Callithrix jacchus: one gene and its partners. The protein of the gene in region 7 interacts with the protein of the main gene of each other region in a pairwise test. Links are inferred from orthologs where the notes say so. Each region holds a gene or a part of one and is shown on either strand. Other genes may lie near its edges.

The links.
Region 1: the proteins of KHDRBS2 (region 7) and RBM3 interact in binary tests that used the Homo sapiens proteins (3 or more experiments, as listed by UniProt). The link is inferred for Callithrix jacchus from reciprocal best matches to the Homo sapiens genes KHDRBS2 and RBM3.
Region 2: the proteins of KHDRBS2 (region 7) and HBZ interact in binary tests that used the Homo sapiens proteins (3 or more experiments, as listed by UniProt). The two-hybrid records come from large-scale screens. The link is inferred for Callithrix jacchus from reciprocal best matches to the Homo sapiens genes KHDRBS2 and HBZ.
Region 3: the proteins of KHDRBS2 (region 7) and PRR3 interact in binary tests that used the Homo sapiens proteins (3 or more experiments, as listed by UniProt). The two-hybrid records come from large-scale screens. The link is inferred for Callithrix jacchus from reciprocal best matches to the Homo sapiens genes KHDRBS2 and PRR3.
Region 4: the proteins of KHDRBS2 (region 7) and CHTOP interact in binary tests that used the Homo sapiens proteins (3 or more experiments, as listed by UniProt). The two-hybrid records come from large-scale screens. The link is inferred for Callithrix jacchus from reciprocal best matches to the Homo sapiens genes KHDRBS2 and CHTOP.
Region 5: the proteins of KHDRBS2 (region 7) and NCOA5 interact in a two-hybrid assay, tested with the Homo sapiens proteins (2 studies listed by BioGRID). The two-hybrid records come from large-scale screens. The link is inferred for Callithrix jacchus from reciprocal best matches to the Homo sapiens genes KHDRBS2 and NCOA5.
Region 6: the proteins of KHDRBS2 (region 7) and HNRNPR interact in binary tests that used the Homo sapiens proteins (3 or more experiments, as listed by UniProt). The link is inferred for Callithrix jacchus from reciprocal best matches to the Homo sapiens genes KHDRBS2 and HNRNPR.

The regions. Positions count from the first base shown.
Region 1 is NC_133524.1:49,137,901-49,141,842, forward strand, and holds the start of RBM3 (RNA-binding protein 3), read left to right. Parts: upstream 1-1,142; 5' UTR 1,143-1,205; intron 1,206-1,537; exon of another isoform or gene 1,538-1,578; intron 1,579-1,789; 5' UTR 1,790-1,806; coding exon 1,807-1,909; intron 1,910-2,185; coding exon 2,186-2,292; intron 2,293-2,937; coding exon 2,938-3,043; intron 3,044-3,132; coding exon 3,133-3,235; intron 3,236-3,649; coding exon 3,650-3,710; 3' UTR 3,711-3,733; intron 3,734-3,942. UniProt on the Homo sapiens protein: Cold-inducible mRNA binding protein that enhances global protein synthesis at both physiological and mild hypothermic temperatures. Reduces the relative abundance of microRNAs, when overexpressed.
Region 2 is NC_133513.1:2,437,539-2,440,968, reverse strand, and holds HBZ (hemoglobin subunit zeta), read right to left. Parts: upstream 1,935-3,430; 5' UTR 1,883-1,934; coding exon 1,788-1,882; intron 1,046-1,787; coding exon 841-1,045; intron 724-840; coding exon 595-723; 3' UTR 501-594; downstream 1-500. UniProt on the Homo sapiens protein: The zeta chain is an alpha-type chain of mammalian embryonic hemoglobin.
Region 3 is NC_133505.1:35,355,642-35,357,846, reverse strand, and holds part of PRR3 (proline-rich protein 3), read right to left. Parts: intron 146-2,205; coding exon 1-145.
Region 4 is NC_133519.1:14,056,570-14,060,069, forward strand, and holds part of CHTOP (chromatin target of PRMT1 protein), read left to right. Parts: intron 1-44; 5' UTR 45-61; coding exon 62-126; intron 127-1,760; coding exon 1,761-1,914; intron 1,915-3,500. UniProt on the Homo sapiens protein: Plays an important role in the ligand-dependent activation of estrogen receptor target genes. May play a role in the silencing of fetal globin genes.
Region 5 is NC_133506.1:41,307,807-41,311,306, forward strand, and holds part of NCOA5 (nuclear receptor coactivator 5), read right to left. Parts: intron 1,666-3,500; coding exon 1,339-1,665; intron 1-1,338. UniProt on the Homo sapiens protein: Nuclear receptor coregulator that can have both coactivator and corepressor functions.
Region 6 is NC_133508.1:60,089,410-60,092,909, forward strand, and holds part of HNRNPR (heterogeneous nuclear ribonucleoprotein R), read right to left. Parts: coding exon 3,477-3,500; intron 698-3,476; coding exon 584-697; intron 1-583. UniProt on the Homo sapiens protein: Component of ribonucleosomes, which are complexes of at least 20 other different heterogeneous nuclear ribonucleoproteins (hnRNP). hnRNP play an important role in processing of precursor mRNA in the nucleus.
Region 7 is NC_133505.1:67,513,534-67,517,571, forward strand, and holds the start of KHDRBS2 (KH domain-containing, RNA-binding, signal transduction-associated protein 2), read right to left. Parts: upstream 2,801-4,038; 5' UTR 2,562-2,800; coding exon 2,471-2,561; intron 1-2,470. UniProt on the Homo sapiens protein: RNA-binding protein that plays a role in the regulation of alternative splicing and influences mRNA splice site selection and exon inclusion. Binds both poly(A) and poly(U) homopolymers. Phosphorylation by PTK6 inhibits its RNA-binding ability.

The DNA of each region.
Region 1 (3,942 bases), on a different chromosome or scaffold from region 7:
GCAGTGGGCTCAGACACCACTTGCTTGGGATAAGCCTATTGTGTATTGCGAAAGTCCCTTCTGTGAATCAAGGTCTCAGTTACTTTTGAAGAGAGCAAAAATTGGATTAGGATTTGCCTCTGAAGATCTTAGAATCCTGTTTTGTAAAAGGCATCTCAGGCAGTCTACTGGTGAGAAAATTAAGGGGCTGGCTTCACGGGGGAGTCAGACAAGGATGAGGACTGAAGTCAGAGATGAGACGGAATGATGCCAGGGAAAAGGGTCCCATGACAGATGGCTAGATGTTGAGCACAGAGGAGAAAAAATAAGAGTTAGGGTCAAACCTGAAAACGTAGGGTCTGACATCATGGACTGTGAAGGGTGATGACATTAGTGATGGTGGGGGAATACAATGTTGGGCGTTTGAAGGATATGAGGTTAAGGAACTAGAAGATGAGCCGGGCATGGTGGCTCATGCCTGTAATCCCAGCACGTTGGGAGGCTGAGGCGAGCGGATCACGAGGTTAAAAGATCGAGACCATCCTGCCCAACACGGTGAAACCCGTCTCTACTAAAAACATCAAAATTAGCTGGGCGTGGTTGCGCGCGCCTGTAGTCCCAGCTACAGGCTGAGGCAGGAGAATTGCATGGGGCGGCGGAGGTTGCAGTGAGCCGAGATCGTGCCACTGCACTCCAGCCTGGCGACAGAGCAAGACTCTGTCTCAAAAAAAAAAAAAAAAAAAAGAATTAGAAGATGAAGGAGGTTGACATCAGAGAATGGCAGGGACCTAGAGCAAAACAGCTGCGATGGTGAGGAAGACATCAGATCCAGCGGGGGAAATGATGGTAAGGACGGGAGGACGATGTCAGGGACGGCAGGTAGTATAAGAGTGAGGTTTCTGTGTGGAAGGGATGAAGACGCTCAGCCGGTTGTTGGGGGTGGATGCTGACATTTAGGGTGCACCAGTTTTGGAAAAGTCGACACCATTTCCGGAAACGCGCAGAGAGCATTGCCCCCTTTGCTTTGCCGTCCCTTCCTCTCCCTACCACCACGCCCCTTCTGGCCTCAGCCAATCAGCACGCACGCCGGAACGCGCAGGGTGAACGGTCTGTGACGTCCTCACTACGCACGCTTTATCAGTCGTCTTCCCGCGCAGCTCCATCTCTGTTTTCTCTGCTCTTCCGACCTCTCTGTGTGTTCGGCTTCTTTACGTTCTAATTTCCAGGTAAGCTGCGTATGTCCTGCGCAATGGCAGCTCCTAGCCACATATGCGCCGCGCCGCCCGAGACCAGGGGATAGCGAGTAGGGAGAATAAAGGCCAGTGACACGTAGGCTTGGCTTTTTCTGGGGCGTGGGGTCCCATGCTCGGAGGTGAAACGTTTCGGTTGGTGGAAAGCCGGCGCGCCGCGTTTGAGTGTGAGGCGTACCGGGAGGGCATGGTGGCGTCAGTGGTGTCAGTAACCACGCGACAGCCTACACTTGATTTCCTTTCCTCACGTGGCGACCGCCATCTTGTTCCGCCAGCGTCGAGGGAAGGCAAGGATGCTCTGGGCTTGCGCAGTGGCACAAAATGACGGGTGTGGCGGCTGTGAATTTGTGTGAGGATGCGCGATGGTGGTTCCCTAATGGTGGCGGCGCTGAGCCAGCCCCGCAGATTGCCACCTTATTGGCCTCCTTTCTCAGCCTCTCTCTAGTTATCCATATTTTGTTCCTCTTTCTTGTCTATTTTCTGTGCTTCTCTGCCTTTCGCTGTTTTCTCACTTCTCCATTTTTTCTTCCTTTCTGCCACCATTCTTCTTCTTCTTACAGGACTTGAACTCGCTGCCATGTCCTCTGAAGAAGGAAAGCTTTTCGTAGGGGGGCTCAACTTTAACACCGATGAGCAGGCACTGGAAGACCACTTTAGCAGCTTTGGGCCTATCTCTGAGGGTGAGATGGGCCAGATTGACAACGGGGGTTGGTGAGGAAAGTCTGGGACCCTTGTATTTCAAAGAATATTAAGCGAAAAGGCAGAACCCCAAGCCTCCAAATTCTTTTTTTCCCTAAACTTACAGTGTCGACTAAGGCTGAGGAAAACATCTTTGGAATTGGTAGGAGGGCTCCTTTTTCCCTACCTACCGCCATTCCCTTTTCAGGCCACCCTTTGCTACTTGACCTTTGTGGTGCTGACTCGTCCACATTGTTCCATTTTTCTCTTCCTCACAGTGGTTGTTGTCAAGGACCGGGAGACTCAGCGGTCCAGGGGTTTTGGTTTCATCACCTTCACCAACCCAGAGCATGCTTCAGTTGCCATGAGAGCCATGAACGGAGAGGTGGGGCATCCTATCTGCAGAGGGGCCTTACCCCCATCTGCAGCTTCCTTCATTCTGTTTTTACCCTCTGTCTGCTCGGGGCAGCGTGGCCACCAAGCCCCGCAGTGTCCACTCACAGGAGCATGACTGCCTTCTGTTCTAGGGGGTGGAGGGCAGCGGCATACAGAGCCTGGCCGCCTGGGAGGCGACGACTGGTCCTGCATGAGGCCGAGAAGCCACCTGTGGATGGTTGACCTGCCTTGGGCTTAGGTAGTAGAGTCTGCAGACCTGTGGGCCTGGCCGGGAGAGGACCTCGTGAGTCTTCTGACATGGACTCTGAAGCCTCAAACCAAGAGAGGTGTCTGTCTAACCCTGATAGTGGGGCAGCTTAGAGGAGTGGGGAGGAGAACTCAGCCTGAGTTCAGTCAAGATGTAAGTAGTAGCAAAGGGAACACGGTGCTTTCAGGTCATTTTATGTGGGATTCTGTAGCTCCTGATAAATCCATTCTTGTGTAAAGGAGCTTATTCTGGAATGTGGCACCACCCAGAACCTGTTGCCCAGCAGGAATTTTTGGGTTCTTTTGCCCACTTTGCCCATGCCTGCTCTTCCCTCACCACTGCCCTGATGGACTGTCAACCCATCCTCCTTGTGTCTCCCACACGTAGTCTCTGGATGGTCGTCAGATCCGTGTGGATCACGCAGGCAAGTCTGCTCGGGGAACTAGAGGAGGTGCCTTTGGGGTCCATGGGCGTGGTCGCAGCTACTCTAGAGGTGAGTGCAGTGATAAGTTTGATCATGGGGTGAGAGGGAGAATTGCCTATGTGTGGATAACTGCCATTTAAATATTTTTTCTTCTGTAGGTGGTGGGGACCAGGGCTATGGGAGTGGCAGGTATTATGACAGTCGACCTGGAGGGTATGGATATGGATATGGACGTTCCAGTTCCAGAGACTATAATGGCAGGTGCGTAGCCAAGGGGTTGGGGTGTTTTGCTATTGCTTTCGTCTCCTTAAGAACTCAGTGCCTGGGTGTTCATATGTACCACACCCTGTTTTTACTAACGTGTGCTTAAAATGAATATGAAGTATTTTGAGTTAATTGTGTGGTCATACAGTTGCAAGATGATAAAGTATACTATATGTTAGTTGTGCTGTGTGGGTTAGTTATGTAACTATATTGTTTTAACATGTAATATTTAATATACTACATATAAATTGTATGCCATGAAACTTTAAGCATATGTGACATATGCTTAACATACCCTGTTTTTGATATCTAAAGTTTATATGTTATGGTACATACTATAAAATGTGATGCATACAATTAATGTCAGTGGTGTTTAATGCAGTCTTGGAAATCTGTGTTTTTTTCTTTCAGAAACCAGGGTGGTTATGACCGCTACTCAGGGGGAAATTATAGAGACAATTACGACAACTGAAATGAGACATGCACATAATGTAGGTGAGACTTGGATATCGGCATTGAATGAACCTGTTTGTCACACTCTGTCATCCTATTTGTCACACTCTCATGACCCTCTCACCTTTTCTGGCAAGACTACTCTGCCCTCATATCTCACTCAGCCAACCTACCAAACACCACTCCTAGGTCTTCCTTGCTCTCAGGTGCATGTCAGAGCTAGTCTGCTAGGGGGTGGGATCTGAAAACCC
Region 2 (3,430 bases), on a different chromosome or scaffold from region 7:
GGCGTCTGTAATTACTCCCCTCGGGCAAAGTTACTGCTATGCAGGAGGAACCCGAGAGTGAGCACGGGGCAGGAATCCCCCCATTCTCTTAGGAGTCGGGTAGGGAGGGGCCAGCCTCAGGGACCCCCGCAGCTGCCGGAGTCCCGGGATTAGGGCATGTGGCTTTGCGGAAAAGTTCCCTGAGTTCCCACGCACTCCCGACACGCTAAGTGAAGTGCCAATCTTGGGGCGATTTGAGAAGCCTCGAGACGCACAAACGCCCGTCGGACCCGAGAACCCCAGGAGACGCCGTGGGCCGGCCCGGGACTGCGGGGCTCCTCCCGGGCTGCAGCTCCGGTGCTCCGGGGCGAGAACCTCCCCACAGCACCCACCCCCAGATGACCTCTAGGCCGCGAAGACGGCGGGGATGACCGAGTTCCTGCGAAACCCCCCGGACCCGTCACTCAGCTTCTCCCCTCCTTCCCTCCAAAACTGAGAACACACAGCCCAGGTCGGTCCTTCCTCATCCGTTTATTGGAGTCAGGGGAGGAACTGCAGGAGGGTGAAGGACAGGGGAGGGGACACAGCCGGTCCTGGCGGTCGCGGAGGCGGCGCTCAGCGGTACTTCTCGGTCAGGACAGAGGATACGACCGACAGGAACTTGTCCCAGGCGGCGTGGGCCTCGGCGGTGAAGTCGGCGGGGAAGCGCGCGGCCAGGGTGACCAGCAGACAGTGGGACAGGAGCTGGGGGCGGGGCCGCTCTGTGAGGGGTGGGGCCTGGAGCGGGCCCCGCCCCAAACCCCGCCTCCATCCAGCCCCGCCCCGCCCCGCCCCAGCCCCGCCCCGCCCCGCCCCGCGCACCTTGAAGTTGACCGGGTCCACGCGCAGGATGTAGGCGTGCAGCTCGCTCAGCTTGGACAGGGCGGCCCCGATGTTGTCGATGCTCTTCGCCGCGTCGCCCACGGCGGCCACCACCTTGGAGCCGTGCGCGCGCAGCTGCGCCGACCCCGGGTGCAGGTCGAAGTGCGGGAAGTAGGTCTTGGTCTGCGGGTAGCTGAGGAAGAGCCTGGCGCGCGGGGCGGGCGTCGTGAGTTCCCGGCAGCGCCGCCTCCCGCCACGGCCCACGCGCCCTGCGGCCCTCTCCGAGCTCCAGGACCCGACGGCGACCTCGCAGCAGGCCCCAGCCCCTCCTCGCGGTGCCCACGTGCCCAGGCAGCTGCCCCTCCGAGGCTGCCCTGAGCCGGAGACCCCGAGGCCGCTGCGGCTCCCGGCTGGTCGCTGCTTCCCACGGGTTCTGTGCGGCCTGGTCCCCAAATCCACCGCCCTCCGCCTGGTGGGGCCTCCGGCGCTCCACCCTCTCCTCTGGTCACAGGGCCTCCTTGCCAGTCCTGGACCGGGTCACCCGCCACCCCTTCTGCAGGCTCCTGACCTCCCAGCAGTGTTCCAGGGAAGGAAAAGCTCCCTGGCCCCTCCCAGGGGTTCAGATGCTGGGACTTTAGAGGCTGTACCTAGAGTGAGATTTTTCACCCTCGGCTCCTCAGAACCTGGGCCTGTGCCCCAGGCCTCAGCCAGCCCAGATGCCTGTGCGATTCCTAATCGTACCGTCTTCACCCTGCTCTCCTCACTGACAGGGAAGGCTATCTGTCCCACTGTCCCCTCCCCGATGTCCCTTCCTCACTGTCCCCTCTGCACTGTCCCCTCCCCACTATTCCCTCCCCAAGTCCCCCCCAGGGTCCCCTCCTCACTGCCCCACTCACAGGCCTGGCCTCCCTCTGGTCCCTCTTGGCAGTCCCCTGTGTGACACTCACCTCTCCAGAGTCTCGGTGCCGATGGTGTCGGCCTGCGTGGAGATCTTGGCCCACATGGACACAATGATGGTCCTCTCAGTCTTGGTCAGAGACATGGCGGCAGGGTGGGCGGCTGCACTGCTGTCGGGCCTGCTCAGGACTGGCCTTGGTGGTGCTCAGCCCCCGGGTCCCCTTATATGCAGGGAGCTGGGCCCAGCCAGGCTGTGGCCATTGGTCAGGTGAGGGGAGGGGGCTGCAGGGGTGGGGTTTCTTATCAGATGGAGTGACAAAGGGCCCCTCAGGGCTCGGTGGGACTGGGTTTTGGGGGCTATCATTCCTGCTCCTCTCCTGTGGCCTTAGAGGGGGTGTTGGGCAGAGTCTGACCAGACTCTAGGAGAGATAGGGGCCCCACCCTCCCAGGAGGTCAGTCCTGCATTTGCAGTCCAGTCCTGCACCGTCCTTATCCATTTCAGAATGACCACTTGGGGGAGACCAGAGGAGCAGGGCTCAGCAAGCAGCCTCCTGGGAACGTGCCTGTGGTTTGCTAACATGTTCCTCAAGCAGCCCTGCCCAGCCACACGGCAGTCCGTCCCCTTCCCCTCTGTCTCTGTGATTCCTGGGTTTCCTCCAAGAAAGCAAGAGTTCCGTCCACCTGGCCCTGAGGGGAGATGTACTGAGTCTATCCCCTGACCAGCAGGCGGAGGCAGCAGGTCCAGGGAGAAAGTTGAATGCATCTAGTATCATGTGCTAATAGGGAGTGCGATATTGCTTTCCACATTAGTTATGGGAATGTAATGAGGCAAATATTCCTTCTAATTTTTTTTAGATAGAATCTTGCTTTGTTGCCCAGGCTGGAGTGCAATGGCACAATCTCAGCTCACTGAAACCTCTGACTCCCTGTTTCAAGCCATTCTTCCACCTCAGCCTCCCGAGTAGCTGGGATTACATTGCCTGCCACTGTACCCGGCTATTTTTTGTATTTTTAATAGAGACAGGGTTTCACCATCTTGGCCAGGCTGGTCTTGAACTTCTGACCTCGTGATCCACCTGCCTCGGCCTCCCAAAGTGCTGGGATTACAGGCATGAGCCACCACATCCAGCCAGCAAAAGTTTTAATGAAGTCCAGTTTATCAAAAAATGTTAAATGAATCTTACTTAGTGCCATGCCTAGGAACTCTCTGCCTAACCATAGAACTCAAAGATTTTCACCTATGTTTTCTCCTAAAGTTGTGTAGTTTGTGTTTATATTGAGCCATACAATGCATTTTGAGATGATGTTTGCCTAAGGTGTGAAGGGCAGGTCCAGGTTCTTCTCTTTGCTTGTATTTTTACCTACGGATGTCCAATTGCTCTAGAAAACACTGTACTCGATGTTTTACTCGTGTAAGGGAACTCATTCTTCCATGGCTGAGATGTGAGATGATGAGATCGGCAGGGGTTGAGGGCAACAGCAACCTTTGATGCCCTCTGGGCTTAGCTGATGGGAGACTCTCCTTCCAGGCTTCCAGGAAGTCCCTTCCAGCACTGCCCGGTCCTCCTTGCTGGTCCATTTCAACTATTTGTTGAAAAGGTTATACTCTTTCTGTTCAGTTGGCTTCTCACACTTATTATATAAAAAATGAATGGGGCATAGGTTTGTGGGTCAATTTCCAGACTCTATTCTG
Region 3 (2,205 bases), about 32 Mb from region 7:
TTGACTCCCCACCAACCACGACCATATGGGCTAGACCTGGGGCCAAGGCCTCCCCGAATTGGGCCTCTACCCCATGGAGGAGGTGGGAGGCTCAGCAGTGGTGGAATCAATGGTCCCCTTGATCCTGGAGGACCTCTGTGAAAAGCTGGAGAGAGGAAAAAAAAAAAAAAAGGTGACCAATGGGCAGCTTAATCCTAATAAGCCCTGATTTTTAAAAAAATTTTTTATTGAAGAACAGCATACATAAACACACACCAGTTTTAAGTGCACAACCCAATTATCACAAAGTAGACACACTTGACTTTCCGCCACCAAATGATAAGGCCTTATTAGCACCTCAGTAGATCCTCCCCTTGTGCCCCTTTTCCCACTATCCACCCTCCTCCCCAAAGGTAACCACTATCCTGACAGCATAGGTTAGTTTTTGCCTGTTTTTGAACTTCACAAAAAATGGAATCATACAGTCTGCATTCTTTTATGTCTGGCTCCTTTCGCTCAACATCATGTTTGTGTGATTCATCCAGGTTGCCTGTAGAAGTAGTTCATTCATTTCGCTGCAGTGTAGTATCCCATTGCATGCATACACAACAACTTATTTATCCATTCTACTGCAGATAGACTTGTGGGTGGTATCCAGTTTGGGGCTATAACGAGAAATTCCACTATAAACATTTTTATACATGTTGTTACACATATGTATGCATTTCTGTTGAGTATATATGCAGTAGAGGTATTGCTGGGTCATAGAGTGTACGTTATGCTCAAGTTTCATGCATAATGCCAAACTTTCTTTTTGGAGATGGAGTCTCACTGTGTTGCCCAGGCTGGAGTACAGTGGCATGATCTTGGCTCACTGCAACCCCTGCCTCCCGGGTTCAAGCAATTCTCCTGCCTCGGCCTCCTGAGTAGCTGGAACTACAGGTGCACACTGCCACACCCAGCTAACTTTTTGTATTTTAGTAGAGACGGGGTTTCGCCATGCTGCTCAGGCTTGGTCTCAAACTGCTGAGCTCAGGCAGTCCACCCACCTCGGCCTCACAAAGTGCTAGGATTACAGGCATGAGCCCAAACTTTTTTCCGTAGTGGTTGTACCAATTTGCACTCTCACCAGCAGTTGTCCTTTAGCCTTGACAGCACTTGGTATTGTTTTTTAATTTTTACCATTCTGGTGAGTGTGAAAAGTGGTGTTTTAATTTTTTAAATGAGAGATTGGGTCTTGCCACATTGCCCAGGCTGGTCTTGAACTCCTGGGCTCAAATGATCCTCCCACCTTGGTCTCCCAAAGTGCTAGGATTATAGGTATGAGTCATCATGTCTCATCTTGTTTGCTTTTTATTGTGCTAAAAAACACATAAAATTTACCATCTTACCTGTCTTTAAGTGTATATATAGTTCAGTAGTTACATATATTCATATTGTTGTGAAACAGATCTCCAAAAGTTTTTTATCTTGCAAAACTGAATGAAACTGTTCCCATTAAACAAAACTCCCCTTCTTCCATCTTCCTTCCCCCAGCCTCTAGTAACCACCATTCTGTTTCTTTGAATTTGACTTTATTTTTATAATTTTTTTTGAGACAAAGTCTTGCTCTGCTGCCCAGGCTGGAGTGCAGAGGTGTTATCTCGGCTCACTGCAACCTCCACTTCCCAGGTTTAAGCAATTCTTGTGCCTCAGCCACCTGAGTAGCTGGGATTACAGGCGTGTACCACCATGCTGGGCTAATTTTTGTATTTAGTAGAGATGGGGTTTCCCCATGTTGGCCAGGTTGCTCTCAAACTCCTGACCTTCAGTGATCCGCCTGCCTCGCTCTCTCAAAGTGCTGGGATTACAGGCATGAACCACCATGCCTGGCCCCTGAATTTGACTTCAGACTCCTCACATAAGTGGAATCATACACTATGTCTTTACTTAACATAAAGTCCTCAAAGTTCATCCATGTTGTAGTATATGACAGCATTTTCTTCCATCATAAGGCTGAATAATATTCCATTGTATGTACACACCACATTTTTTTTTCATCATTGGATATGTGGGTTGCTGCTATGAACATGAGTCTGCAAATCTCAAGACCCTGTTTTCCATTTTTTTTTGGATATATATCCAGAAGCAGGAGTTCTGAGTAGTTCTATTTTTAATTGTTTTAGAGGAACATCTTCATATTGTTTTCTATAGTAGGTTTACCATTTTATAATCTCAGCAGCAGTA
Region 4 (3,500 bases), on a different chromosome or scaffold from region 7:
GGTCACTATAGTGATTTGCTCATTTTACCTATTGCCCTTTGTAGATTCTCGGGATTTGAAGATGGCTGCACAGTCAGCGCCGAAAGTTGTGCTAAAAAGCACCACCAAGATGTCTCTAAATGAGCGGTGAGGCAGCCAACAGCAACTTCAGCTCCTTCCTAAGAAAACATTACTTAACTTGGCCCTGGGGTCCAATGCACAAAGCCAGTTGTAAGCTAAGTACCAACAGAAGGCTACAGACCTCTGTTTTTAGTTGCATCTTGTGTGGTACACAAAACAAATTGGGCGGTTGTTTCAAAACCCCTTATCAGTAGATTTTTATATTAAACTGTGAAATATTTATTTGGTGGGATGTATTTTAAAAGACTCCTAACACCCTCCCTTTTCACATTTTTTTACATTGATACAGGGGTCGTGCAGCACGGTAGCATGGTACCCTGGCTACAGTCGGCTTGCTGCCCAGTCCAAGGCCAGCAGTGTTGTGTCTGGCCTGTAAGAGGCAGGTAGCAAGCCATGAATATGTCCAAAGGCCCTTGAATGTCATTCTTGGACCTTGTAAGAGGCACTTGCTTTGCTTCATTTCACTTTCTTTTCCATTCTGCTTTTAGTTTGTTTTTGTTTTGGATTCTTTTACAGTTAAGTGCTCTTCTCTTCCATTTCATTACACTGCCTTGACAGAAATAATAAGGAGTGTCTTCACAGGCTCATAAATGAACTAGTTTACCTTTCAGAAGTAACTGCTTGGAGTCAGAAAAAGTGATGATTTGAGACTAATGAAAGTAAAGGTATTTAAAGGCAGTTTCTATCTCTGACAACTTTGTTCATTAAGAGTGCCTTTGGGCCGGGTGCGGTGGCTCACACCTGTAATCCCAGCACTTTGGGAGGTCAAGGCTGGTGGATCACGAGGTCAAGAGATCGAGACCATCCTGGTCAACATGGTGAAACCCCGTCTCTACTAAAAATACAAAAATTAGCTGGGCATGGTGGCGCGTGCCTGTAATCCCAACTACTCAGGAGGCTGAGGCAGGAGAATTGCCTGAACCCAGGAGGTGGAGGTTGCGGTGAGCTGAGATCGTGCCATTGCACTCCAGCCTGGGTAATAAGAGCGAAACTCTGTCTCAAAAAAAAAAAAAAAAAGAATGCCTTTGACCAGTGATTTCATTAAGTCGACTTCAGATCGTTGAGATTTACTTAATGTCTATTTTTTTGCCTCTTCTGAAGCATATGTACTTCTCTCCTTACTCTTCGGCTATGATAAGCTAATTATTTTTGTTTGTATGTTCTATGTGATAAATACTTTAAAATGTGATACACTCCTGTAATTTATGAGAGTATGTTAATTGCTGTGAGCTTTGAAGGTGCTCTAGTCCTTCCTCCTATTTGGCCTTGGAATGCACCTTGGATTCCCCTAAGGTTTAGGCTTTCTTCGTTTGTCTTTGAAGCTGCATCTTCTGTCTCTTGTCATTATATCTGCTTATTGCGTGTTTTTCATACCTTCAACCTCTCTAAAAGCCGTTACCTGAGCCCTTGTTATCACTTTCGGTTGAATGTGCTGCACCTAGCTGCATTTCTAAGTTTCTGATTCTTGCAAGTTTGTGGAAACAGAGGAGTCTTTAACCCACATCAGCCTTGATCTAAGTGTACCACTTTACTTAAAAGTTCGTGGGATCTGAAGCTCCTGGTCTAGCAAGCCATGAAAATGCCAATAAATGTTTGTAATAAAGCTTTTATTTAAACATCCATTTTGTTCGACCTTGAAGCTTCACTAATATGCTGAAGAACAAACAGCCGACGCCAGTGAATATTCGGGCTTCGATGCAGCAACAACAGCAGCTAGCCAGTGCCAGAAACAGAAGACTGGCCCAGCAGATGGAGAATAGACCCTCTGTCCAGGCAGCATTAAAACTTAAGCAGGTGAGAGAATGGGTCATAATGCTCCAGAAGCAGCTGGTGATCTCGGTCAGGGAGTCCACTGAGGCTGTCAGGACGTGATGGATGATTACAAGGTGGCTCAGGGCAAAAGCTGAAACTTCTCTGAAAGAAAGAGAAGTTCAGAGAATTCCAATTTTAGCAGGTACCAATAAGTAACTTTTTACTGTTTTTCTCTTTTAGGGAGTTTGCCATCTCTGTGGCCTGTTTCTGTTACCAATGAGTGTTAATCGTTTGTTTTCTGATCCTTAACCCTTAACATTGATTAATGGCTTATTCCCCAGAGAAATTTTATTTCAAGTCCAGGTGCTGTGGCTCACGCCTGTAATCCCAGCATCTTGGGTGGCCAAAGTGGGTAGATCACTTGAGCTCAGGAGTTCGAGAGCATTCTGGCCAACATGGTGAAACCCCATCTCTACTAAAAATACAAAAAATTGGCTGAGCACGGTGGCACACCGCCTCTAGTCCCAGCTACTAGGGTGGCTGAGGTACAAGAATTGTTTGAACCCAAGAGGCAGAGGTTGCAGTGAGCTGAGATCACACCACTGCACTCCAGCCTGGGCAACAAAGCAAAAAAAAAAAAAAAAAAAAAGCACACGGAAACTTTATTTCAGCTTTAGATAATCTCACAGCATCCTTTACTCTCTGATAAATTTTTGTTTTTTTGTTTTGTTTTGTTTTGTTTTTTTTGAGTTTCCCAACTCTTACCCAGGCTGCAGTGCAATGGCGCGATCTCGGCTTACTGCAACCTCCGCCTCCTGGGTTCAGGCAATTCTCCTGCCTCAGCCTTCTGAGTAGCTGGGACTACAGGTACGAGCCACAATGCCCAGCTAATTTTTTGTATTTTTAGTAGAGACGGGGTTTCACCATGTTGACCAGGATGGTCTCGATCTCTTGACCTTGTGATCCACCCACCTCGGCCTCCCGAAGTGCTGGGATTTACAGGTGTGAGCCAACGCGCTCGGTCAACTCTGATAAATTACCCACCAGAAAAATAATTTTATTCTTTTTTCCCTGGTTCAGGGAGTTTGCATGACCTTAGTCAAAGGTTTTCTTTTTGTTTGTTTGTTTTTTGTTTTTTGTTTTTTTGTTTTGAGACGGAGTTTCTCTCTTGTTACCCAGGCTGGAGTGCAACGGCGCGATCTCAGCTCACCGCAACATCCACCTCCTGGGTTCAGGCAATTCTCCTGCCTCAGCATCCTGAGTAGCGCCACCATGCCCAGTTAATTTTTGTATTTTGAGTAGAGACGGGGTTTCACCATGTTGACCAGGATGGTCTCGATCTTTTGACCTCGTGATCCACCGGCCTCGGCCTCCCAAAGTGCTGGGATTACAGGCGTGAGCCACCGCGCCCGGCCAGTTAAAGGTTTTCAATGGTAAAATATACAGAGTAGAATGACCCTCATTTCCACAGCACCTTAAGTTTTACCAGTAAAGTGGAGCAAGAATACTGAGTAATTTGAGTTGGGGGTTCTTTCAGATTTGCAGTAGGAGATAATTCTATTCAGACCTGAAATAAAACCTCCTCTTTATTATCCATAGAATTTATATGCAAGTCCGGACAGTGGCCA
Region 5 (3,500 bases), on a different chromosome or scaffold from region 7:
AAAAAATATATATATATATACTAAAATGTATATAACAATAATTTGCCATTTTAACAATATTTATTATTATTATTATTACTACTACTACTACTACTACTAGAGATGGGGTTTCACCATGTTGCCTAGGCTGGTCTTGAACTCCTGAGTTCAGGCAATCCACCCACCTCAGCCTCCCAAAGTGCTGGGATTACAGGCATGAGCCATTGCGCCTGGCCTCACAATTTTTAAGTATACAACTCAGTGGCATCATATTCACAATGTTGTGCAACCATCACCATTATCTATTTCTAAAATTCACTTCAAACAGAAATTCTGTATTCGTCAAATAACTCCCCTCTCCCCAGCCACTGGTAATCTTTAAATCTACTTTCTGTCTCTATAAATTTGCCTATTCTTGATATTTCATATAAGTGAAATCATATAACATAAATCATACAATATAATATGAACTCGTGTAAGCGAATTCATACAATATTTGTCTTTGTGTCTGGCTTATTTCACTTAGCATGTTTTCAACGTCCTTCATGCTGTAACACAGATCAGAACTTTATTCCTTTTTAAGGCTGAATGATAGCACATTGTATATACATACGACTTAAAAAAAAATCCACATTGGGTGCAGTGGCTTACACCTGTAGTCTCAGCACTTAGCTCAAGAGTTCAAGACCAGCCTGGGCAACAGAGTGAGACTCCACCTCTATATAAAAAAATTAGCCAGGTGTGGTGGCATATGGCTATAGTCCCAGCTACTTGGGAGACTGAGGAGGGAGGATTACTTAAGCCTGGGAGGTCAAGGCTGCAGTGATCTGTGATCATGCCACTGCACTCCAGACTGGGAAACAAGTAAGACCTTGTCTCAAAAAAAAAAAAATCTATTAATCTGCCGACAGACATCTGGATTGTTTTTACCTTTTGGTTATTGTGAATAGTACTGCTATGCGTATTCATGTAAAACTATCTGAGTCCCTCTTTTCAAGTCTTTTGAGTGTATACTCAGGGATGGAACTGATAGATCATATAGTTAATTCTATGTTTAACTTTTTAAGGAACTCCCAAACTGTTTTCCATGGTGGCTATACCAATTTGCATTCCTACCTGCAATTTCTGAGGGTTTCAATTTCTCCATACCTTGTCAACACTAGTTATTTTCTGTTAAAAATTTTAAAAATCATTCATATATTCAGCTAAATTTATTGAGCAGCAGCACATCTACCACTCAACAGACACTAGAAATATAAGGCTGATAAAATTACTGCTCTTACAGAGCTTTCCATTGGTTTAGTAGAACATACATAAAAAGAACTTAAAAAAAAACAAGCAGAGTAACTACATATGTACCTGTACACCGGATCTCGGGAGTCTCTCATGTCTCTGTATCTGTCGTACATGGGGTCTCGCTGATCTCGAAAATCCCTAGAGTCTCTTAGATCACGAAAGTCTCTAAGATCCCTCATGTCCCGAACATCGCCGCGCACACTCCTGCTGTCTCTGTGATCCCGCAAGTCTCTATGTCTGTGGTCCCGCAAGTCTCGGGGGTCTCGAATGTCTCTGCTGTCCCGGGCATCCCGGCCATTTCTGCCATCCCTGGACTCTCTCCTTGGACTTCCCCGAATTGGGGATCGATCACGCCTTGAATCTCGACTGTCTCCAAAGCCATAAGGATCCCTGTGGGAGGTAGCAAGAAGATGCTAAGACAAAGAAATTGAAAGTAGCCAATGCATCAGCTCTTTATAGGAGAAAGTCCCCACCCTCCAAGCATTTTTCTTTAAAACAGGGCAGCCAAACAGAACATGACTGAACATTTAAGGACAGTCATCCATCTGGTCAGCAAATAGTCCAGAGGTTGCAACATCTCAAAAGATCGGGACATCAAAAGAATGCACGACTAAAAGCCAAAGTTTTTGACTGGATAACAGTATTTATCAGACTTTCAAAGTAAAAGTGTCTTTCCACCAGACTTGCTTGAAAGAGACTTTACAAGGGGTAGAAAGTTGGAGGGACAGAGCAAGGAGGCAAGACTCATGAAGAAAAAAAGAACAAATGGCACAATCTCATAAAAGTGATCAAAGGAATTATCTTTAAAGTATGGAAAATTCACTTAACATTACGTTGGCAGGATAATAAAATTAAGGAAAAATAAGTACTACAAGATACACAAAATAAAGGATCAAAAACAACCAGTTTCTCTGTTTTGTCAGAGCTATTGAGTACTGGTATCTCTCAATCTGAGGGTTTATGCAGAACCTGATTCCTTTTTGCTCAAGATGGTTTTTAAAAAAGGAAACATGAACAGTGAAGTCACAGATATGCTTTGTCTGCTCTGATTCAATGTTCTTCATGAGACATTTCACCCCACTGGAAACTCCTCTTTAACATATTTAAAATTAAAAACTTCTGATTCCAACCCTTATCAGCCCCATTCCCCACTTTCTTACTTCTGACAAAATCATCTTCCCAGTTATCAAGTTTCAAGTTCTTGAATATTAACTATGCTTTTTCCTCCCCCAACCCAATAAAGTCACTTGTTCATTTTTTTTCATTCCCATTGGATTTGTAAGTCCAATCCAAGTCCTTATTTCTATTTTGACACCAATACATAAAACATAAAATTAAAAATCAATCTACTTGATTTCAATTAATTCAACACACAAATACCAGATTAACTATTCTAAAATGCCAACTTCTATGTTAGAAATCCTAATAAATCTGACTCCTATTTCTCCCTCTCATTTCTAATTCAACCTTCTCAAGTCTACTTCATTCTTATGCAGTATGTCTAGATCACTCACAGGACATGATCTATCTTGATATTTTTATTTATATGATTTCTATACTTGGAATATTTTTCCTGCACTAATCCAAGTGCCATCCAATCTACACAGGCAAGTTTATGTCCCGTGTCTTCCAAGAAACCTTCCCTACCCTTCCTAACTGCTGATCTCTTCTGCTTAGCTCAGGGCACCTTCTATCTGTATTACTCATCTTGATCTGGCATTTACCTTTTTACAACAACATCTTATGTCTGACCCACTTTAAGGATTACCTTCTCCGTAAAACCTGCCCTGAACTCTTGATCTTCCCCTTCCCCAACAAACATGCTCCCCTCCCAACCTTCCCATCTCTATAAATGGCACATCCACCTACTCAGTTGCACAAGCCAGGAAACTGGGTGTCATCTTTCTCTTAAAGCCTCATCCTCCCAACCATATTTCCAAATTTTCGTCATTCTTTCTCAGTTCTGCCCACTTTCCTTTATCTTCTTTGGTACCACTGAAGGCCAACGCATAATCGTTTCACCCTTAAACCACAACAAGAGCCTTCTAAAGCAGTCTATGTTTCTGCCTCTTTTCTTTCTCCTGAAAGATCACTCTACAGTTGTCTCTTACATATGTAAAACCCTCCACTGGTTTCCCACAGTATGTATTTATTTATTTTTATAGGGTGAGGTCTCACTATGTTGCCCTGGCTGGTGTGCAGCGGTTATTCACAAGTGGGATCAT
Region 6 (3,500 bases), on a different chromosome or scaffold from region 7:
GGGAGGCCAAGGCGGGTGGATTACTTGAGGTCAGGAGTTCAAGACCAGCCTGACCAACATGGTGAAACCCCATCCCTACTAAAAATACAAAATTAGCCAGGTGTAGTGGCACACACCTGTAATCCCAGCTACTGGGGAGGCTGAGGCAAGAGAATCACTTGAACCCCGGAAGTGGAGGCTGCAATGAGCTGAGATCGCGCCACTGCCCTCCAGCCTGGGCAACAAGAGTGAAACTCCATCTCAGGGGCAGGAAAAAAAAACAGAATAAAGCAACTCAATCTTCCAAATAATTTTACTCCAAATATATAAAATGATGTGTTGCTAGTAGCATGGTTTTAGCAACCCGTTCCAAGAACTCTATATTATATTCTGATATAAAGTGTGTGGATATCTACTAGTCACAACATTATCCATGCTCATAATGGCAGCAAAACTCCCATCCATACACATGGATATCTAAAAAATAATAGCAGGTACAGTTTGAAAGGGATCAAGTATTTTCCCCCTCTGTACAGTATCTACATAGTAGACAAAACACTTTTCAACCTGGAAAGATCTTGGCAAACAGCTAAAGAACACTTACCTCTGTTCCAATTCCCGGTTGCATGCCAGAGTACACACTGTCTGGTGGAGGACCACCATACTTCCTCTGTCCCGTGGTTACATCCAGAGTATAACCAGTTCTCTCAAGCAAGGCCTAGAGATAATTATACATCTCTTTATACTTGAATACTAAATTTCAAACACAAGCATCAATGTATTAATCTTTTCCAAAGTACTCCAACTTCCTAGGAAATATATTTTTATGATTAGGTTAAAAAAAAAAAAAGTCAAAATTCACACTAGTTCCCCATACATGTTTCTACCAGCGAGTCTTTTCAAATAAAATGTTCTCTATCCTCAAAAAATTAGCATAAGTCTTACCTCCTTCATGCAGCTTCTCTTGTTTACTATTACTCACATCCCTCTCTTCCTAATTTCTTTTTTTTTTTTTTCCCTAAGATGGAATCCTGCTCTGTTACCCAGGCTAGAGTATGCAATGGCATCATTTCAGCTCACTGCAGCCTATGCCTCCCGGTTCAAGCGATTCTCCTGCCTCAGCCTCCCAAGTAGCTGGGATTATAGGCATGTCCACCACGCCCGGCTAATTTTTCTTCTTTTTAGTAGAGACAGGGTTTCACCATGTTGGCTAGGCTGGTCAGGAATTCCTGGCCTCAAGTAATCTGCCTGTCTTGGCCTCCGAAAGTGCTGGGATTACAGGTGTGAGCCACCGCGACCAGCCCCCACTGTCTTTCTAGTGTACTCAAGGTCCCATAATTGAAGCTTTGTTTGATCCTTTTGTTTTATACTCCTGCCATATCATAAGCACCACAAGAATCAGACAATCAGACAAGAATCACACAGTACAGACTAAAAACATTTGGCAATTACCAAATTAGTCAAGTTTCAAAAAATATGTAAAATCTTGTGTTTCCTGATTACCAACCTTCCTTACATTCTATTAGGCATTAAGAGGAATCAAAGAAAAGAAGATAAAGTCTTTGCTCTCAAGGAGCTTATGTTATAATTGAGGCAACATTTACATAAAGAGCCTACAGAACAAAACACACAATGGCAAACAAAGAAATGCAATCTATGTAGAAAAGAGAGAATTTTACAATTCAGGTTTTTTAAATTAGACAATGTCAGAACTACAAGAGACTTTAGATATCATCAAGTTCAATGAACTAGGGTTCCACAGGGATGCATGTCTTCGGCCTTCCATTCCTCCACTTTCAACTGAAACAGAGCTCTCTACTTTTAAACATAGAAATAAATGCAATAGAAAACAGGGCTCCCCCAACCCCTAGGCCATGGATAAGTAGTGGCCTGGGCTGCATAGCAGCTGTATCTATATTTACAGCTGCTCCTCCTCCTCTCTATTTTTGGCATTACTGCCTGAGCTGTGAGCTCCACCTCCTGTCAGATCAGCGGCCGAATTAGATTCTCATAGGAGCGTGAACCCTATCGTGAACTGCACATACGAAGGATCTAGGTTGCAGGCTCCTTATGAGAATATAATGCCTTAAGATCTGTCACTATTTCCCAGTACACCCAGATGGGACAATTTAGTTGCTGGAAAACAAGCTCAGGGCTCCCACTGATTCTACATTATGGTGAGTTGTATAATTATTTCATTACATATTACAATGTAATAATAATAGAAATAACTTCAACATAAAATATCTATTTCAAATTAAAAAGTCTATCACAGACCAGGCATAGTGGCTCACACCTGTAATCCCAGCACTTTGGGAGACTGAGGTCGGCAGATTCCCTGAGGTCAAAAGATCGAGACCAGCCTGGCCAACACGGTGAAACCCCGTCTCTACCAAAAGATAAAAAGAAAATTAGCTGGGTATGGTGGTGCATGCCTGTAGTCCCAGCTATTCAGGAGAGGGAGACAGAAGAATCGCTTGAACCCAGGAGACAGAGGTTACAGTGAGCTGAGATCGCACTACTGCACTCCAGCCTGGGCAACAGAGCAAGACTCTGTCTCAAAAACAAAACAAAACAAAAGTACATCACTACAGTAAGACAGAGTATCCATTATAAGGAATCAGGTTTACTGGTCTTTCACTAAAAGCGTATATTTACCTTTCAAAGCTGTTTATCTAAGTAACAAAATGGTAATAATAATGGCTCATGGTTAAATAGTTCTTACTATATTCCAGGCATTATTCTAAGTGCTTTATATATGTTAAGTCATTTAATCCTTAAATAACTCTGTGAGGTAGTTACTATTACTCTTCCCATTTTACAAATAAACTGAAGTAACTGAAAATTCAAAAGGAGGAAAGCAGTTATAACAACATCTTTTTATCAAGAGAAAAGAAACAAAGTGCCTGGAAAATAACTGAACCAAGAGACATTATTGGATCAATCCAAGAAACTACCAGCAGAATCATCAATAAACGTACGTTGTTCAGGCCAGGCATGGTGGCTCATGCCTGTAATCCCAGCACTTTGGGAGGCTTAGGCAGATGGATCCCCTGAGGTCAGGAGTTCAAGACCAGCCTGGTCAACATGGTGAAACCCCATCTCTACTAAAAATACAAACATCAGCCAAGCACACTCACATGCACCTGTAATCCCAGCTACTTAGGAGGCTGAGGCAAGAGAATTGCTTGAACCCGGGAGGCAGAGGTTGCAGTGAGCTGAAATCACGTCACTGTACTCCAGCCTGGACAACAGAGCAAGAGTCTGTCTCTACATCATTCATGGCCATGAATGAGGGAGAATATGAATTAGGGCTTTTCGTTAAACATACAATTGAGTGTTGACCCCCAAAATTATCCTTCTTATGTAATTTCTCTAAATTATTTCATTTCTAAACACTAATTTTTAAAAGTGAAACTCTCTGGGAAACATGAAAAGAAGCATTTGACCTCATCATTAAATGTAATTTCATTGCAACTACCCAAGTCAAGTTTTACCTTGATCTTCGCTTCATCAGGTCC
Region 7 (4,038 bases):
AAGCTCATTGGTTTATATCACTGCCTTTATATATATTAGCTTCCGGAAAATCATTCTGAAGAACTGAATCATCTGTATCATTTTTATTACTCACTCAGGCTTGACACTGTCTGCACAGTACTGACTGAAATGTACTTCAGTATGCACCTTCTTTCTAAACGAATATCTATGTCAGGTTTATTTATAGCCACTGCCTTCAATCAATGCATTCTCAGGTATGAGAAATAAAATCATCTCAATGATACTCTTCTATAGCGATCTGAAACAAAGTATGGACATCTTGGCAAGTGGCCTTTGGAAAGATAACGAAAGAGCTATACCATAAAATATGCATTAACATTATTGAGATTCCAAGAACAATTATCTTACACTCTTTAATAAGCACACATAAAGAGCCCCACGTACAATTAGAGAAGTAATCTAAAACCTATGCATCCTTTTGCATAACTCTTTCTGTACCCCAAGATTATTATAACCTCCTCCATTCTCTTTTCCTCATTCTGATTTCTCTGAAATTTGGGCACCCTCTTTGTTTCTTACTTAGCTTTTCTCTATTTAGGAGCTTTTCCTTCTAATTCTTTACAAAAGCAGGGCATGCTTCCCCCTGCTGGGAAAAAATCAAATTACAAGGTACATTCGAACATGTTCTTAAGTATTGTATCAAGAAATCAAGTTCCTAGGAAAGATAAAATGTTAAGGAACCAAGTGCATAGCCTTCACTGACTGTTTTACCAGCTACATAAATACTTATGCACTCTTTTAAGAGTGTCTTGTATGCCTTTATTCAGCTTGGCAGTCCTCAAGTACAGTAACTCACATTAACAACTGATAAATTAATCTTTGAGCTACCTGTCTCAAATAGAACTCCAATTAGCAGGTCAGAGAAAATGATCAATTTGTAACTTTTTTTTTCACTTTAAAGACATTATCAGTTACATGAAGAAACTTCCAGAAAATACACTGAAGACTATTCAAATATATTAAAGGCTACTGAATACTGATGACTTGCCTTTTAAATCATTTCAAAAACCCTTAAACATGTATTAACTCATTGTTTTCCTATTATTTTTATGTAGTTATCTTCTTAAAGAAATTTTCAAAAGTTCATTTTTATTGACTTACTTTTCCACTTTAATTTCTATTTTTTTATTCAATAACCAAGAAAGTAGTAAGCATAATTGTATTTCAACTTCCCACTTATCTATAAAATCTGCTTTTTCCCTGAAAACAATTTAGTTATTTCACATATTCCATGTTTTGACTATAAATCTCATCCTAATTGTTTAGCACTTAAATATAGAAACATATCTTACACTTCATTATTATAAATAACAATCCATGAATTAAAAATATATAGCTAATGCATATTTGAATCATATACTGAGGAGCAGAATTTATTCTTCCATGGTACAACTAAGTCTCAAAAAAAATATTTTAATACTGAGGAGCTTGGGTAGAGGAATTTATCCCTTTTAGGTTTTTGCTGTAGGTGAGTCCAGAACAACCTTAGCTCCAAAATTACATTGTGAACAATTTGATGATGAAGCAATTCATTATTAATGAAGCATTCATCCAAAAAAATCTGCAGATGTTTTAAAAAGGTATGTGTAAATAACTACAGACATCATAGGTATCTTTAGTAGTTAGATGGAATAATTATAACATAAATGGAGTAATTTGGTTAAGTTCGTATGTCTTTTTTTGTTTTTAAACCTTTGAAAGCAATGCAAAAGACAAGACATATATGTTCCTCTGGGAATGAAATCTCCTTTAACGTTGCAGGTACACAAAAGAAAATGCACACTTGGTAAAACAGTTGATCAATTATGGAGTGTTCCCAGGGACCAATATCTCACAGAGTACCCAATCATCACACTTCAAATAAATGTGTAAGCACTTTAGCCTCTGCTTTCCACATTCAAATATATATAAGAACATGCATAGTTTAATTCTAACACTTTCCATAGGAAAGACTTTGATTAAAGGGTATCAAACACCACTTCCTAAATGAAGCAAAAAAAAAAAAGAAAAGAAAAAAAACCAAAAAACAAACAACAACAATAAAAAAAACAAATGCTTATCTGTAGCTAAGAAGCTCTTAGAACACTACATTTATTACCATTTACTTCCAAACTGCTTTCCCCTCCCTCTGCAAAGTGAAAATGTCCCTGTGGACGGCGTTACACTTCATGGTATCTCTATCTATGATCCTAACAGGTCACATCGCTACTGCCATTAGATCTCCGTAGCTTTGGTCTTCTCCAAATTAAGACGTGGAGAAAGAGCACAGCTGTGCTCCCCAAGAACCAAGAACCGGGTCTGTCCGCCCGAGCTCCGAGAGGAGCATCTTCAGGGGACAGTTTCTGCGAAGGCGGCGACAGGAGTCCCTCCCCAACTTCACTCCCCTTATCAAGCCGCGGGCCAGATGGGCAGCCGGCGGTTAGTGCCCATCGGTGGGGGCAAGTCCTACCTTCTGCCAAAAGGCGCGATGCATGCACAAAAGATGGATCCAGGCTATCTTTCTCTGCCATCAGCTCAGGCAAATATTTCTCCTCTTCCATAGCGCGGACTTCGGACTGTCCCCCGGCGAAGCGCGAGGTTCTGCTCGCTCGGATGCAGGGTCGCGGGGCACAGCCTGGCTCCCGCGCTGCTCCTCCTCCGCGCGGCGGGGGGATCTCTGCGCGTCCTCACTGGCCCATGCACCCAGCGCCTGTGACTCCCGCCGTCGGGCAGCGTGGCCCCGCGCCCACACCTGCCCGTCCCTTCCGTCGTCTCTCGCTCGCGCCGAGCCCCGGCTCACACCAGCGGCCTTAACTGGAGAGGCGGGAACAGGACGTGGCCCACCTCCGCCAGCCACTCATTGGTGGTGGTGCCAGAAGAGGCGGAGCGCTCGCGAGGGCCGCGGGCCTTCATTGGGCCGTGGAGCACGTCGGGTCGCCTGACTGGCATGAGGCAGCTGCAGAGGGGAGGGGAGCTTGGAAGGTGCAAACGCTTTCTTCTCGCAGCCCAAGCCTTCCCTGGCTATTAGGCATGCCCAGTTCTGTGGGGCTCTCTGTGTCTTCATCTAAGGTGCGGAGGAGAGAGAGGGCGGGAAAAGCGCAGGTTAAACAGACAGGCCTGAGTCCAAGTGGACAGGGGAGATGGATATGAGAAGTGAGCCGCCCAGAGGGTGGAAAAGCGCCAGGGAAAGTCTCAGGATGGCAGCTGAGACTTCACCTGCGTCCCTAAGGCACAGGTGTCTGCTTTCCCTCACATAGCTCAGACGCACTCCAGTTGCGCAGGAATCAGCAGCGCACTGGGTCTGGAGATATAATGAAGATTGCATGTGATCTGCAGCTGGTATTTCCGATGACCTACATCTCAGGGACGCAGTAGGATGCTCATTGATAAACAAATAAGGCGTCTCGGAGCAATATTGTACAGAAACATGCTTCCGGTGTACAATCATTGGGATATTGAATTAGTTCTGATAACCTATCCTGGCCTCCTTTCCCCAGACCCTATCTGTGGAAGGGAGGTTGAGAGGGCTGAATTTAAAAACATATATATGTTTAAAAAACGTGTGTGTGTGTGTGTGTGTATGTGTGTGTGTGTGTGTGTATGATCAATTAGTCACTCTTTGTGAAGGAATTAGGAAGGTGTAGAAGAAAGAAGAGACAAGAAAATAGGTAACTATGTTTCCTCTAATTCTCCCGTTTCTCCTCATTTTAGATGTGCCAGTCACTTTCACCAGGTACTGTTGCTGAGCTACTTTGTATTATCTATTACACCTCTATTTAAAGGAAATTTAAACCCTCATGATATCACCAACCGTGGAGGCAAAATCCATCCTCCTCTTACAACGCGGCCATAAAACGTAACTTGAATACCTCAAATGATAGGAAACAATCTTTCCGCAAGTCTTGGGTTCTCTTTTCGTAAGCAGTCATTTTCCCATTCTTCTCTCCCCATTATTTTTGGTGTGATGGAATGAAGGCCAACTTTGCTACAAATAAGATACGCTGACGTTTTTCCAAGTTATCTTATTGTATTTAAATA